3 linked regions of the Macaca fascicularis genome follow. The protein of the gene in region 1 purifies or fractionates together with the protein of each later gene. This does not show direct contact. Links are inferred from orthologs where the notes say so. Each region holds a gene or a part of one and is shown in the gene's direction. Other genes may lie near its edges.

Evidence for each region.
Region 2: the proteins of EDC4 (region 1) and XRN1 purify together in Homo sapiens (co-immunoprecipitation; 4 studies listed by BioGRID and IntAct, with this or other methods). This does not show direct contact. The link is inferred for Macaca fascicularis from reciprocal best matches to the Homo sapiens genes EDC4 and XRN1.
Region 3: the proteins of EDC4 (region 1) and EDC3 purify together in Homo sapiens (affinity purification with mass spectrometry; 6 studies listed by BioGRID and IntAct, with this or other methods). This does not show direct contact. The link is inferred for Macaca fascicularis from reciprocal best matches to the Homo sapiens genes EDC4 and EDC3.

What each region holds. Positions count from the first base shown.
Region 1 is NC_088394.1:63,931,372-63,935,019, forward strand, and holds part of EDC4 (enhancer of mRNA-decapping protein 4), read left to right. Parts: intron 1-240; exon of another isoform or gene 241-340; intron 341-447; coding exon 448-604; intron 605-991; coding exon 992-1,103; intron 1,104-1,375; coding exon 1,376-1,475; intron 1,476-1,727; coding exon 1,728-1,917; intron 1,918-2,019; coding exon 2,020-2,167; intron 2,168-2,251; coding exon 2,252-2,356; intron 2,357-2,674; coding exon 2,675-2,784; intron 2,785-2,868; coding exon 2,869-2,952; intron 2,953-3,044; coding exon 3,045-3,140; intron 3,141-3,245; coding exon 3,246-3,348; intron 3,349-3,465; coding exon 3,466-3,646; intron 3,647-3,648. UniProt on the Homo sapiens protein: In the process of mRNA degradation, seems to play a role in mRNA decapping. Component of a complex containing DCP2 and DCP1A which functions in decapping of ARE-containing mRNAs. Promotes complex formation between DCP1A and DCP2.
Region 2 is NC_088376.1:45,200,117-45,203,764, reverse strand, and holds part of XRN1 (5'-3' exoribonuclease 1), read left to right. Parts: intron 1-164; coding exon 165-263; intron 264-2,170; coding exon of another isoform or gene 2,171-2,242; exon of another isoform or gene 2,243-2,304; intron 2,305-2,371; coding exon 2,372-2,487; intron 2,488-3,027; coding exon 3,028-3,174; intron 3,175-3,648. UniProt on the Homo sapiens protein: Major 5'-3' exoribonuclease involved in mRNA decay. Required for the 5'-3'-processing of the G4 tetraplex-containing DNA and RNA substrates. The kinetic of hydrolysis is faster for G4 RNA tetraplex than for G4 DNA tetraplex and monomeric RNA tetraplex.
Region 3 is NC_088381.1:51,751,498-51,755,145, reverse strand, and holds part of EDC3 (enhancer of mRNA-decapping protein 3), read left to right. Parts: intron 1-446; coding exon 447-600; intron 601-3,648. UniProt on the Homo sapiens protein: Binds single-stranded RNA. Involved in the process of mRNA degradation and in the positive regulation of mRNA decapping. May play a role in spermiogenesis and oogenesis.

The sequences.
Region 1 (3,648 bases):
TGGTTCTCATGGCCCACAGGGAAGAGTCTAAGTGCCACAGCATCATACCTGATGCCTCTGCAGCTTTGTTTTCCCTCCATCCTTCCTGTGTTTGTGTGTTCTGGCCACACTAACTGCTGTATAAAGTCTTTCCTGACCGTTCCTATGCCCTCACTCAGAGTCCACAGAGTTCTGTAGTAACCCAGGCCTGAGTATTAACTGGCCTCAAAGGGTCCTTGATGGCTTGTACCCCTCCCCCAGGCAGAAGAGCCTCATGCTCATCCTTGGTCCTGCATACGTCAGCGTTTATGGAACGAGAGATGAACACAGGGCCCTCCTCCTCATGGACATGCTTTGCTCAGTTGAGTGTTCCTAGAACACCTCATAGTTCTTGAAGGAAATTCTGCAAGGGGAGAAGCTTGTGGGCAGGTCGAGCAACCTTATCAGAGTGACCCTCTCTGTCCCCAGGCCCCAGTGCAGAGAGCCCACGGCCATCCAGTGCCTACAATGGGGACCTCAATGGGCTTCTGGTCCCAGACCCGCTCTGCTCAGGTGATGGTACCTCAACAAACAAGACTGGTCTTCGGACCATGCCACCCATTAACCTGCAAGAGAAGCAGGTCATGTGAGTACCTAGGAGACGACAATGGTGGTGATGGTGTGTTTGGGGTGTCTTCCTAGCTGAAGCCATGAGATGGGGAGTGAGCAGGGCCAGCGGCCTCTGCTGCTTCCTCTCTAGATGACCTGGGATGGGGCTTGAGCTTGCACTAGGATGAGAGGCAAGGACAAGCTCAAGGGTTTGGCCTGGATACCTGGTTTAAAATGAAAGTAGACTCATTCCCAAGGAAGGAGGTGAGCAAGCGGAGCTGTGGGTCTGGGGCCAGTGTACCAGGCAAAGCTGACATTGGACTAGATACCTTTACCAGGCTGGCTATGTCCTCGCTTCCTCCCGTCCCTGCCCATTGAGCCTTTGGGTGAACAAGAGACAAAGTTTTTGCACTCTTCCCCACAGCTGTCTCTCAGGAGATGATAGCTCCACCTGCATTGGGATTTTGGCCAAGGAGGTGGAGATTGTGGCCAGCAGTGACTCTAGCATTTCAAGCAAGGCCCGGGGAAGCAACAAGGTAGGTACTAGGATGCTGTGGCATATATAATGTATAGGGGCACACCCAGCCTTTCCGGTCTCCCTCATGCTGCCAGTTCCTGTGGGGCCACCTTGACACTTTCCCAGTTTCAGGAAGCCAGGGCTGGGTGCCAAGCCTCTGTGGGAGTCTGGCTCCAGGAGGTAACAGTGGGTAGCTGGACTTGCATCTGTGTCCTCTCCCATCCCCAGGGATGTTGGGGGCCACCTAGGCTCTAGGGAAGTTCCATGACTTTTCTTACCCTGGGTTCTCAGGTGAAAATTCAGCCTGTCGCCAAGTATGACTGGGAGCAGAAGTACTACTATGGCAACCTGATTGCTGTGTCTAACTCCTTCTTGGCCTATGCCATTCGGGGTGAGTAAAGACAGTGGGGAGGAAGGACGTCCTTCCTCCTATGCTGGACGTCCAACAGAGCCAGTTCCAACATCAGGCCACTCAGGCCTTAGGGGTACAATGGAAGGTTTGTCCATGCTGCCTCTTGGGGAGCTGGGTGGGAAAACCAAGCTTGCGACTATGGTGGTGGCAGGAGACAGACAGGGGCAGCGCTTCTCTGCTGCTGCCTGAGCCTGGATGTGTACTCATGGTCCACTGCTCTCCTGATTCCAGCTGCCAACAATGGCTCCGCCATGGTGCGGGTGATCAGTGTCAGCACTTCGGAGCGGACCTTGCTCAAGGGCTTCACAGGCAGTGTGGCTGATCTGGCTTTTGCACACCTCAACTCTCCACAGCTGGCCTGCCTGGATGAGGCAGGCAACCTGTTCGTGTGGCGCTTGGCTCTGGTTAATGGCAAAATTCAGTATCCATTCCTTCCCGTGGGTGGTGGGACTGAAGAAGGGTGGGCGGAGCTGGGGTGTCATGCCTCTTCATTCACCTATCTAGCCCTTAACACCCTGCTCAGAGAAGAGATCTTGGTCCATATCCGGCAGCCAGAGGGCACGCCACTGAACCACTTTCGCAGGATCATCTGGTGCCCCTTCATCCCTGAGGAGAGCGAGGACTGCTGTGAGGAGAGCAGCCCGACGGTGGCCCTGCTGCATGAAGACCGGGTGAGGGGGCTGGCATGGCGAGGAGGCGCCAGAGAAGCCATAGTGTGGGGATGGGCTGCACACTCACCTCTCTGTGCCTTCCAGGCTGAGGTGTGGGACCTGGACATGCTCCGCTCCAGCCACAGCACTTGGCCTGTGGATGTCAGCCAGATCAAGCAGGGCTTCATTGTGGTAAAAGGTCATAGCACGGTAAGCCTGTGACTGCCTGCCTCCCCTGCCCTCTCTTTCCTCATATCCGTCCTCTGTTCCCTATATCCACAGCTGTCCGGGCAGCTTTACTAGCATTCTGTCCATGGGGACTCTGAGCTCAAAGTGGCCCTTGCCTGTGCAGTTTTCTCCTTACCTCACAGCACCCTGCAGGTCTGGCCTTCTCTAGGGACCCTGTTCATTCAGTCAGTCACACAAGCATGCCAGTCCCACCATGAGTCAGTCCAGCTCATTACCATCCTCACTTGGGAGGGACTTGTTCTCACCTCTAGTCAGCAAAGCTTTTTGGGTTCTTTCTAGTGCCTCAGTGAAGGAGCCCTCTCCCCTGATGGGACTGTGCTGGCTACTGCGAGCCATGATGGCTATGTCAAGTTCTGGCAGATCTACATTGAGGGGCAAGATGAGCCAAGGTAAGGCAGGGCCTCAGGGACCAGGATCCTCCCGAGGTAGCCGACCGGACTGCTCACTCAGGCCCCTCATCTGCCTACCTGCAGGTGTCTGCACGAGTGGAAGCCTCATGATGGGCGGCCCCTCTCCTGCCTCCTGTTCTGTGACAACCATAAGAAACAAGACCCTGAGTGAGTGAGTGGGCAGCCTAGTGGGTGGTGGGCTGGACCATGGCTCCCAGCAGGCGGCCCAGCCAGCCAGTCAGTGCCTTGTTGCCTTGCAGTGTCCCTTTCTGGAGGTTCCTTATTACTGGTGCTGACCAGAACCGAGAGCTAAAGATGTGGTGTACGGTGTCCTGGACCTGCCTGCAGACTATTCGGTAAGGAGTAGTTGGAAGGCTGGGGGACTGGGCAGGGGCAGCAGGGTTGGGAATGTGGCTTCCTTCAGTTCTCAGCCTCATTCACTCTGCTTTGTGGCTCTCTAGCTTCTCCCCAGATATCTTCAGCTCAGTGAGTGTGCCCCCTAGCCTCAAGGTTTGCTTGGACCTCTCAGCAGAATACCTGATTCTCAGCGATGTGCAACGGAAGGTAGGCTGCCATGGGGTACCCTGGGCAGAGCTGGGATTATAGAGGAAGGCCGGGGGGCAGGTGGCGCATTGCAGCCCTTAGCCTCTGAGCTCAGCTAGGAACGTTCTGCCTGTGCAGGTCCTCTATGTGATGGAGCTGCTGCAGAACCAGGAGGAGGGCCATGCCTGCTTCAGCTCCATCTCGGAGTTCCTGCTCACCCACCCTGTGCTGAGCTTCGGTATCCAGGTTGTGAGTCGCTGCCGGCTACGGCACACTGAGGTGCTGCCTGCCGAGGAGGAAAATGACAGCCTGGGTGCTGGT
Region 2 (3,648 bases), on another chromosome or scaffold:
CAGTGACTCAAATTTACAGTATTTTCATACCCAGTTAACAAATTTCAAGAGAATTTCCACTATCCAACTTGTCATACTGTATTTCAAAAATAATAGTGTTCAAATAAGTTAAAAAATAAAATATACTGAAAGAGACTATACTGTGATTTTTTTTTTCTTCTAAGGTGCAGGATTCAGGTGATGTGATTACAGAAGGTAGGATTCGTGTGATTTTCAGCATTCCATGTGAACCCAATCTTGATGCTTTAATACAGAACCAGCATGTGAGTACAGTAGTTTGTATCGTTGCATTTTGAATTGATAATCTTAAAATATTAGGATATTTTTGCCACCTCATTTGAATTTATTTCAGATATTTTATTTAATACTGATTAGATTCTCTCTCCCAGTTGCAGCTGCTGTTTAAAAATCAGTGTGGAATCTGTGCTCAAAACTTCATGTAGACCTTTATGGGGGGAAATCACTGATATCCAATTATTAATCCATAGTGATTGTTAGGGATTATTGTGTTCAAGCTTATAAGATGCACATTGATTAGCACACTCTCTGGGAATAGATTTAGGTGTTTTAAACCTTTCATAATAATTCAGAGCCTGCATTTTTAGTTGCAAGTGACAAATGGCCTTTCTGCAAAGGCTGTATGTATCCACTCAGCTAAGAATGAACGGTCTCAATTCTAAAGAATATTGGAAAAATGCATTTAAGTTAACAGCATCTTTTTCAGGACTTTCTCACCAAAAAATTCCACTGGCTTTCTTATCTCCTGTTAAAACAGAGGGAAGGTTCTGATATCTGTCATTTGTTCTTATTGATTGGTTGGATAATTAGCTAAAATTAATTCACAATCAACCAACTATTGCTACTTAGGGGTTTTTTTCTCACACTAATAGTAAAATGTAAAGCTTTATATCCTGTGAAATGAATTTAAGGCATTACATATCAGCACACCCATGAGGAAACTTTATGTATGGAAGACAGTCATCCCTAAAATCTTACCATCTGGTGCCATTTGAAGAACAAATTTAGACAGCATAGTCAGGAAACCAGGAGAGTGGCTCATTAAATAAAGTAGCTGGAGATTTGTACTGGGAATCAGTGAAGGTTAAAGAACTTGTGTTCCTTCATCCCTGGCTTTTTCTAGATCTCGAAGAGCCTGTCCTCTTGTATAGTAGTATACAGTGTTGATGGGCATGCCTTCTTCAGTTTGGTTTCTGTCTCTTTACATACGTTTAACTTTCACTCCAGCTGCCTTCTTTTTCTACCACAACATTCTCAGCTACTTATTTTATATTTTCTAGGATGTTTGTGATGGTTTTAATGAATTTTAAATTATAGCAAAACCCATTATTTCTCAAAAGGAGTACTATTGGCCATTTGGGCAGGACAGTTATGTATTAAATAAAACTGTTTTGTATATGGCAGGACAGTTGGCATCTTTGGCTCAAGGGCATTAAGTACTAGTAGCCCATGCCAGTTATGGTAATTAAATGTGCCTCTACACATTTCTAAATGCTTGTTAGAAAAGTGTTGCTACTTATGTTTGAGACCTACTACCATAATTCTTTGAACTCTTCTGGAAAGCATACTTGATTTGTATTAGATTATTGCTCAATCTGATTATGTTCTTAAGTATATTTTATTGTTATGTACATGATGTTAGGAGTATATGGTAGTTTATCCTAGTTAGTATTAGATTCATCAGTCATTTGCTTCCTGTTTAAATATTATATGATCTGTTACTTACTTTTTTTAATGTGACAATATGTTTTCTTCCCTTAAGTATATAAATTAAGGTTACATTTCATTGACTGTATTAATTATGGGTCTATACATGCTTGTATATTTTCATATGATAGTAAATATTAGGGGAAAAGAATATTACTTATATCCATATATGAAGGACACTTTTAGTTTTTCTCAGTAGCAACTATTTTGATGACGTACCTGTTTTTTAATTCAGTCTAGTAATTATTGAGGCCTCATTTTGTCCCAAGTACTTTGCTAGGCCCTGCTTGGAATATGAAAATTAGTAGAAACAAAAACAAACAAAAAAGTTGCCTGTGGAGTTTGCCATTTAGTACTTACAGTAGAGTTTATTTCTTAAGACAGTTTCACAAACTGTATATTTCCTCCCCCCTTTTATCCATCCTTGGGAATTCTGTCCTTTAAGGAGAAAGAGAGAGGAGCAGAAAAATTCTGCCTACAGATCCTTTCAAAAAAAAGGGGAAATGGATCTAAGTGAAAATCCTTATATTGCCACAATCCAATGGTTAGTGATGTCTTGATTATCTCCAGATTTTAAAGGTAAAGAAATAACATTTAATGTAAACTTGTGTTTCCATAATTGACCTTTTTGTTTTTATATTTAAAGAAATATTCTATAAAGTACAACCCAGGATATGTGTTGGCCAGTCGCCTTGGAGTGAGTGGATACCTTGTTTCAAGGTTTACAGGAAGTATTTTTATTGGAAGAGGATCTAGGAGAAAGTAAGTTTATGTTAGAGAAATTTACTTAAAGTGGCAGAAAAATTAAATGATAAAGATTAAATGCTTAATATTTCAGTATTTATTTTCTTATTAATTGCTCTGAATTGTCTTAAAATTGTGCATAAATTTCTCTGATGGTAATCTTTCATCTGAATGGCACATGTTTTAGGTGGTTGGAAAAGACAGTTCTTATTTTTTAGCAGCTAATAAATTGAACCTTGAAAAAAGGTATCAGAGGGTGTGTGTGAACCTCAGTAGTATATTTCCTTGCATCTTGTTATTTCATTTTCCTCTATAGTTACATAATTTATTTACATGCTTTGTTAACTTGGGTTTTGAAGCTTTTCTTCTAGTTTTTCAATTACTGCTACTTTGGAAATAACCATAATAACTAAAATATAGAAGAATAATCAAAACTGAGCTTTTCTAAGAATTGAAAGCAAAACTTTTTATTCCTTGAACAATATTTTAAAACGTGTGTGTGTGTGTGTGTGTGTGTGTGTGTGTGTGCACGTGCGTGCATGTGTGGTTTAAATTCAGCCCTCATGGAGACCATAAAGCAAATGTGGGTTTAAATCTCAAATTCAACAAGAAAAATGAGGAGGTACCTGGATATACCAAGAAAGTTGGAAGTGAATGGATGTATTCATCTGCAGCAGAACAACTTCTGGCAGAGTACTTAGAGAGGTAAGTACCTAATAAGATCCTAGTAGTCATCCAGAATCTTAGGAAAATACTGTTTATTTTTTTGCTTACATTAGTTTTAGTGGACAAATATTTCCATTAGTAAAATCTGGCATATGTTACATGTAAACTTAATTTTGCATCATGGATTATCATAGCCACTAGCTAAAATTGAGTAGAAAAATACCATGTTATTAAAAAGAAAGTATGTAATGAGAATTGGCCTCCTTAGTTAAAATTTTTCTTAACTTACTATCATAAATTGTTCACTACTTTGCATACCTGTGTCAGCACTGAGAGGACTGATATGGATAAACAAAGCTCTTAGCATAGTGGATTTTTTCTGATTCTTAGAACTTTGTAGCTGCACAGGTTACTATTTTAGAATTATTGAATTTTATTGCTGAAATTATCAAGGAAATCAGCAAGTCAACTCATACCAAAAGTGAGAAAGCCAAGTACCAAGATTCACTGAGT
Region 3 (3,648 bases), on another chromosome or scaffold:
AGGGTTAGCTAGTGTCTGTGTCTGTTCCACTTCTCAGGAAGGACAAGGCACCTGCTTGTGAGGAAACCCTGCTGCCCAAGATGGCATTTCCCCCACTTTGGGAAAATCATGTTCTCTTCTCTTGTGCCTGATAGGTTGCTATTACCGGCTGTGTGCTGGTCTCGATAGCACTAAATATATCCTGGTAGATTTGGCTTTCGTGGTCTAAAGCTAAACTGCTAAGGGAGCTTAAGTTTGTCCCCACTCTGTGGTGACCTGGAACAAGTTGTTACTTGGTTCACCATTCACTACTCAGAGTGTGCCTTAGTCCTGGAAGATGAAGAGGATGGGCCAGAGGGTGGTCCATGGTAAAATGTTGGCATTTGCAGAATCTTGGATAGAGTATACCCAGTTTGGACCTGGTTTCTGTAGTCACTTTCCCTTTCTCTTCTCCTTTTGAACTGCAGACTCTGGCCTGGTTGTCCCAAGTGTTTCCTATGAGCTACATAAAAAGCTGTTGTCCGTGGCTGAGAAGCATGGGCTGACCCTGGAGCGGAGACTGGAGATGACAGGTGTGTGTGCCAGTCAGATGGCACTGACCCTCCTCGGAGGACCCAACAGGTAAATGCCTGTAAACTGGCAGGGACTCAATGTGGAGTGAGGATGCTCTGCTTGGCCACCATCACAGAGCCTCCCATACACACAGATGAGTTCATTAGGCAGTTTTCTGCCCATCTGATGGGAGTATCTCTCTGAAGTCACTTTCTTGGATGCTGCGAGGTTTCTTTGCCCCTCCTTAGACCCATCTCCTAGATGTCCTCATTCTTCTGCTGGCAAACTGCCTTTTGACCCTCTGTTTCCTGATAGCCGCCATCTGGCCTGAGACTCCTGCTAACTATCAGAAGCCTTCCTTCTAGGAACCTTCGGAGACCTGGCCTTTGGCACTCATCATTTACTTTACGTGGCTGGGATGCAAATCAGTCTCCATATCTGAGAACTTCCAGAACCACACTGACAACTGAGTAGGGGAGCTGGAGTTTGGCACCTTCCCACCTGCCCTTTATGCTCATATATCAAGGGCAGTGCCTTATTTGTGGACAGACTGATACCAGGTGCCAGACCTTCTGCTAGACACTGGGGACACGAAGAATAAAATACTACACCTTTCCTCCAGTAGCCCAGTGAGGTCTCTAGAGAGTCTAGTGCTGTGATAGAGGGAACAAAATTCTCCAGTAAGCCATATTATTGCCGCGGGCTGGAGAAACCAGTCACGCTTCTGGAGCACTGGCATCCAAGCAGAGCCCTGATGAACAAGGGGTGGTTAGCAGGGGCAAGCAAGAAAGAGGAAGGCATTCTTTTTTTTTTTTTTTTTTTTTTTTTGAGACGGAGTCTCACGCTGTTGCCCAGGCTGGAGTGCAGTGGCGCGATCTCGGCTCACTGCAAGCTCCGCCTCCCGGGTTCCTGCCATTCTCCTGCCTCAGCCTCCTGAGTAGCTGGGACTACAGGCGCCCGCCACCGCGCCCGGCTAATTTTTTGTATTTTTTTTTTAGTAGAGACGGGGTTTCACTGTGGTCTCGATCTCCTGACCTTGTGATCCGCCCGCCTCGGCCTCCCAAAGTGCTGGGATTACAGGCTTGAGCCACCGCGCCCGGCCTCTTTTTTTTTTTTTTAAGATAGGTTCTCACTCTGTCACCCAGGCTGGAGCACAGTGGCACAATCTCAGCTCACTGCAACTTCCACCTCCCGAGTTTGATCGATTCTCCCACCTCAGCCTTACGAAGTAGCTGAGACTGCAGGCATGTGCCACCATGCACGGCTAATTTTTTTGTGTTTTTGATAGAGACAGGGTTTCGCCATGTTGTCCAGGCTGGTCCCAAACTTTTGGCCTCAGGTAATCTGCGCGCCTCTGCCTCCCAAAGTGCTGGAATTACAGGTGTGAGCCATCGCACCTGGCCAAGAAGAAGGTATTCTAAGTACAGGAAGTAGCATGTGTCAAGGGCAGAGAGAATCAAGAGACCATGGAATTGTTGGCAATCTGTAAGTTACTCTGTCGCTGGAAAGTAGGGCCTCAGTATAGCTGAGTGGTAGGGAGCTGCTGAAGAGATTTCAGTAGAGCTATGACATGGTTAGTCTTGTGTTTTAAAAAGATGATTTTTAGCTACAATGAGGACAGTAGATTCAGTGGAGGCAAGACTGAAAGCAGTGAGATCAGGTAGAAAACTGCAACACTTAGAAAACTGAGCCAGGGCCCAAATGATGGTGGCCCAACTAGGGAAGCAGGGATCAGAAAAGTGTACAAATAGGTTTGGTGATGCATGCCTATATCCCAGCTACTCCAGAGGCTGGGGTGGGAGGATTGCTTGAGCCTAGGAGTTTGAGGCCAGCCTGGGCAACATAGTGAGACCTTGTCTGTCTCTCTTTCTCTCTTTTTTTTTTTATATGACCTTGTCTCTTTTAAAAAAAGAAAGAGAAGTGGGCAGATGAGGGTTTGTTGTTAAGGTAAATTCAGCAGGACAAGGTAATTGAATGGATTTTAGAGGTGATGGAAACTATAGTGTCAGAAATCAGTGAACTTCAAGCTTTCTAGCCTGGACATCTGATTGGATGATGGTACACATTCACTGTGATAGGAAACATGGGAAGAAGAGCAGGTTTGAGAGAGATTGTGGGTTTTGTTTTGGATGTGTTGAGTTTGGAATACCTGTAAGATATCCAAATAGTCTCTTAGCTATAAGGATCTGAAATTTAGGCCAGGCATGGTGGCTCACACCCGTAATTCCTGCACTTCGGGAAGCCAAGGTGGGCAGATCACTTGAGGTCAGGAGTTCAAAACCAGCCTGGCCAACATGGTGAAATGGTGATCTCTACTAAAAATATAAAAATTAGCTAGGCGTGATGGCAGGTGCCTATAGTCCCAGCTACTAATGAGGCTGAGGCAGGAGAATTGCTTGAAGCTGGGAGGAGAAGGTTGCAGTGAGCCGAGATCACACCACTGCACTCCAGCCTGGGCAACAAGAGCAAGACTCCATCTCAGAAAAAAAAGAAAAAAAAGTCTGAAGTTCAGAAAAGGGTCTGAGCTGATGCTAGAGATTTGAGAGTTGTCAGCTTGTAGATGGTGTAAGAGTAGATGAGATCATGTGAGAAGGTGTGAAAAGAAAGGGCCTAGGGTGGGATTCTGGGGAACATCGGCATGTAGGGCACAGTTAGGAGGATGAAGAAGAAAGCAAGAGAGGTAAGAAACCAAGAGGGTAGCGTGTAAGAACCAAGGAAATAGTATTTGAAGTCAAAAGGAATGGCTGGCAGTGGTACTGCCGATAGATCAATCAAAATTAGAGTTGACAAGTGCCTATTGGCTTTGTCAGTAAAGAGGAGGATGTGGGCAACCTTGTGGGAGACTGGTGTCTGGAGTGGGGAGGTGGCTTCCAAGGAGCAGGGCAGATCTGGGTTCAGTGGGGCAAGGAAAGCCTCTTTTCCCTGAGCAGCACTCACAGATCCAAAGCCTCACATGATAGGATGTTGCTTCCCACAGGGCCTCTTCCCTATTTGTGAAATGGAACCTGGTCCTTGGCTTGTGCTTCCAGCCATGGTGTTTGGGAGTCCTTGCCAGAAAACTGATATTGCAGATAAATCCTGTAGCTCCTCACTCCAGCCTCTTTTCATTCTCTGGGC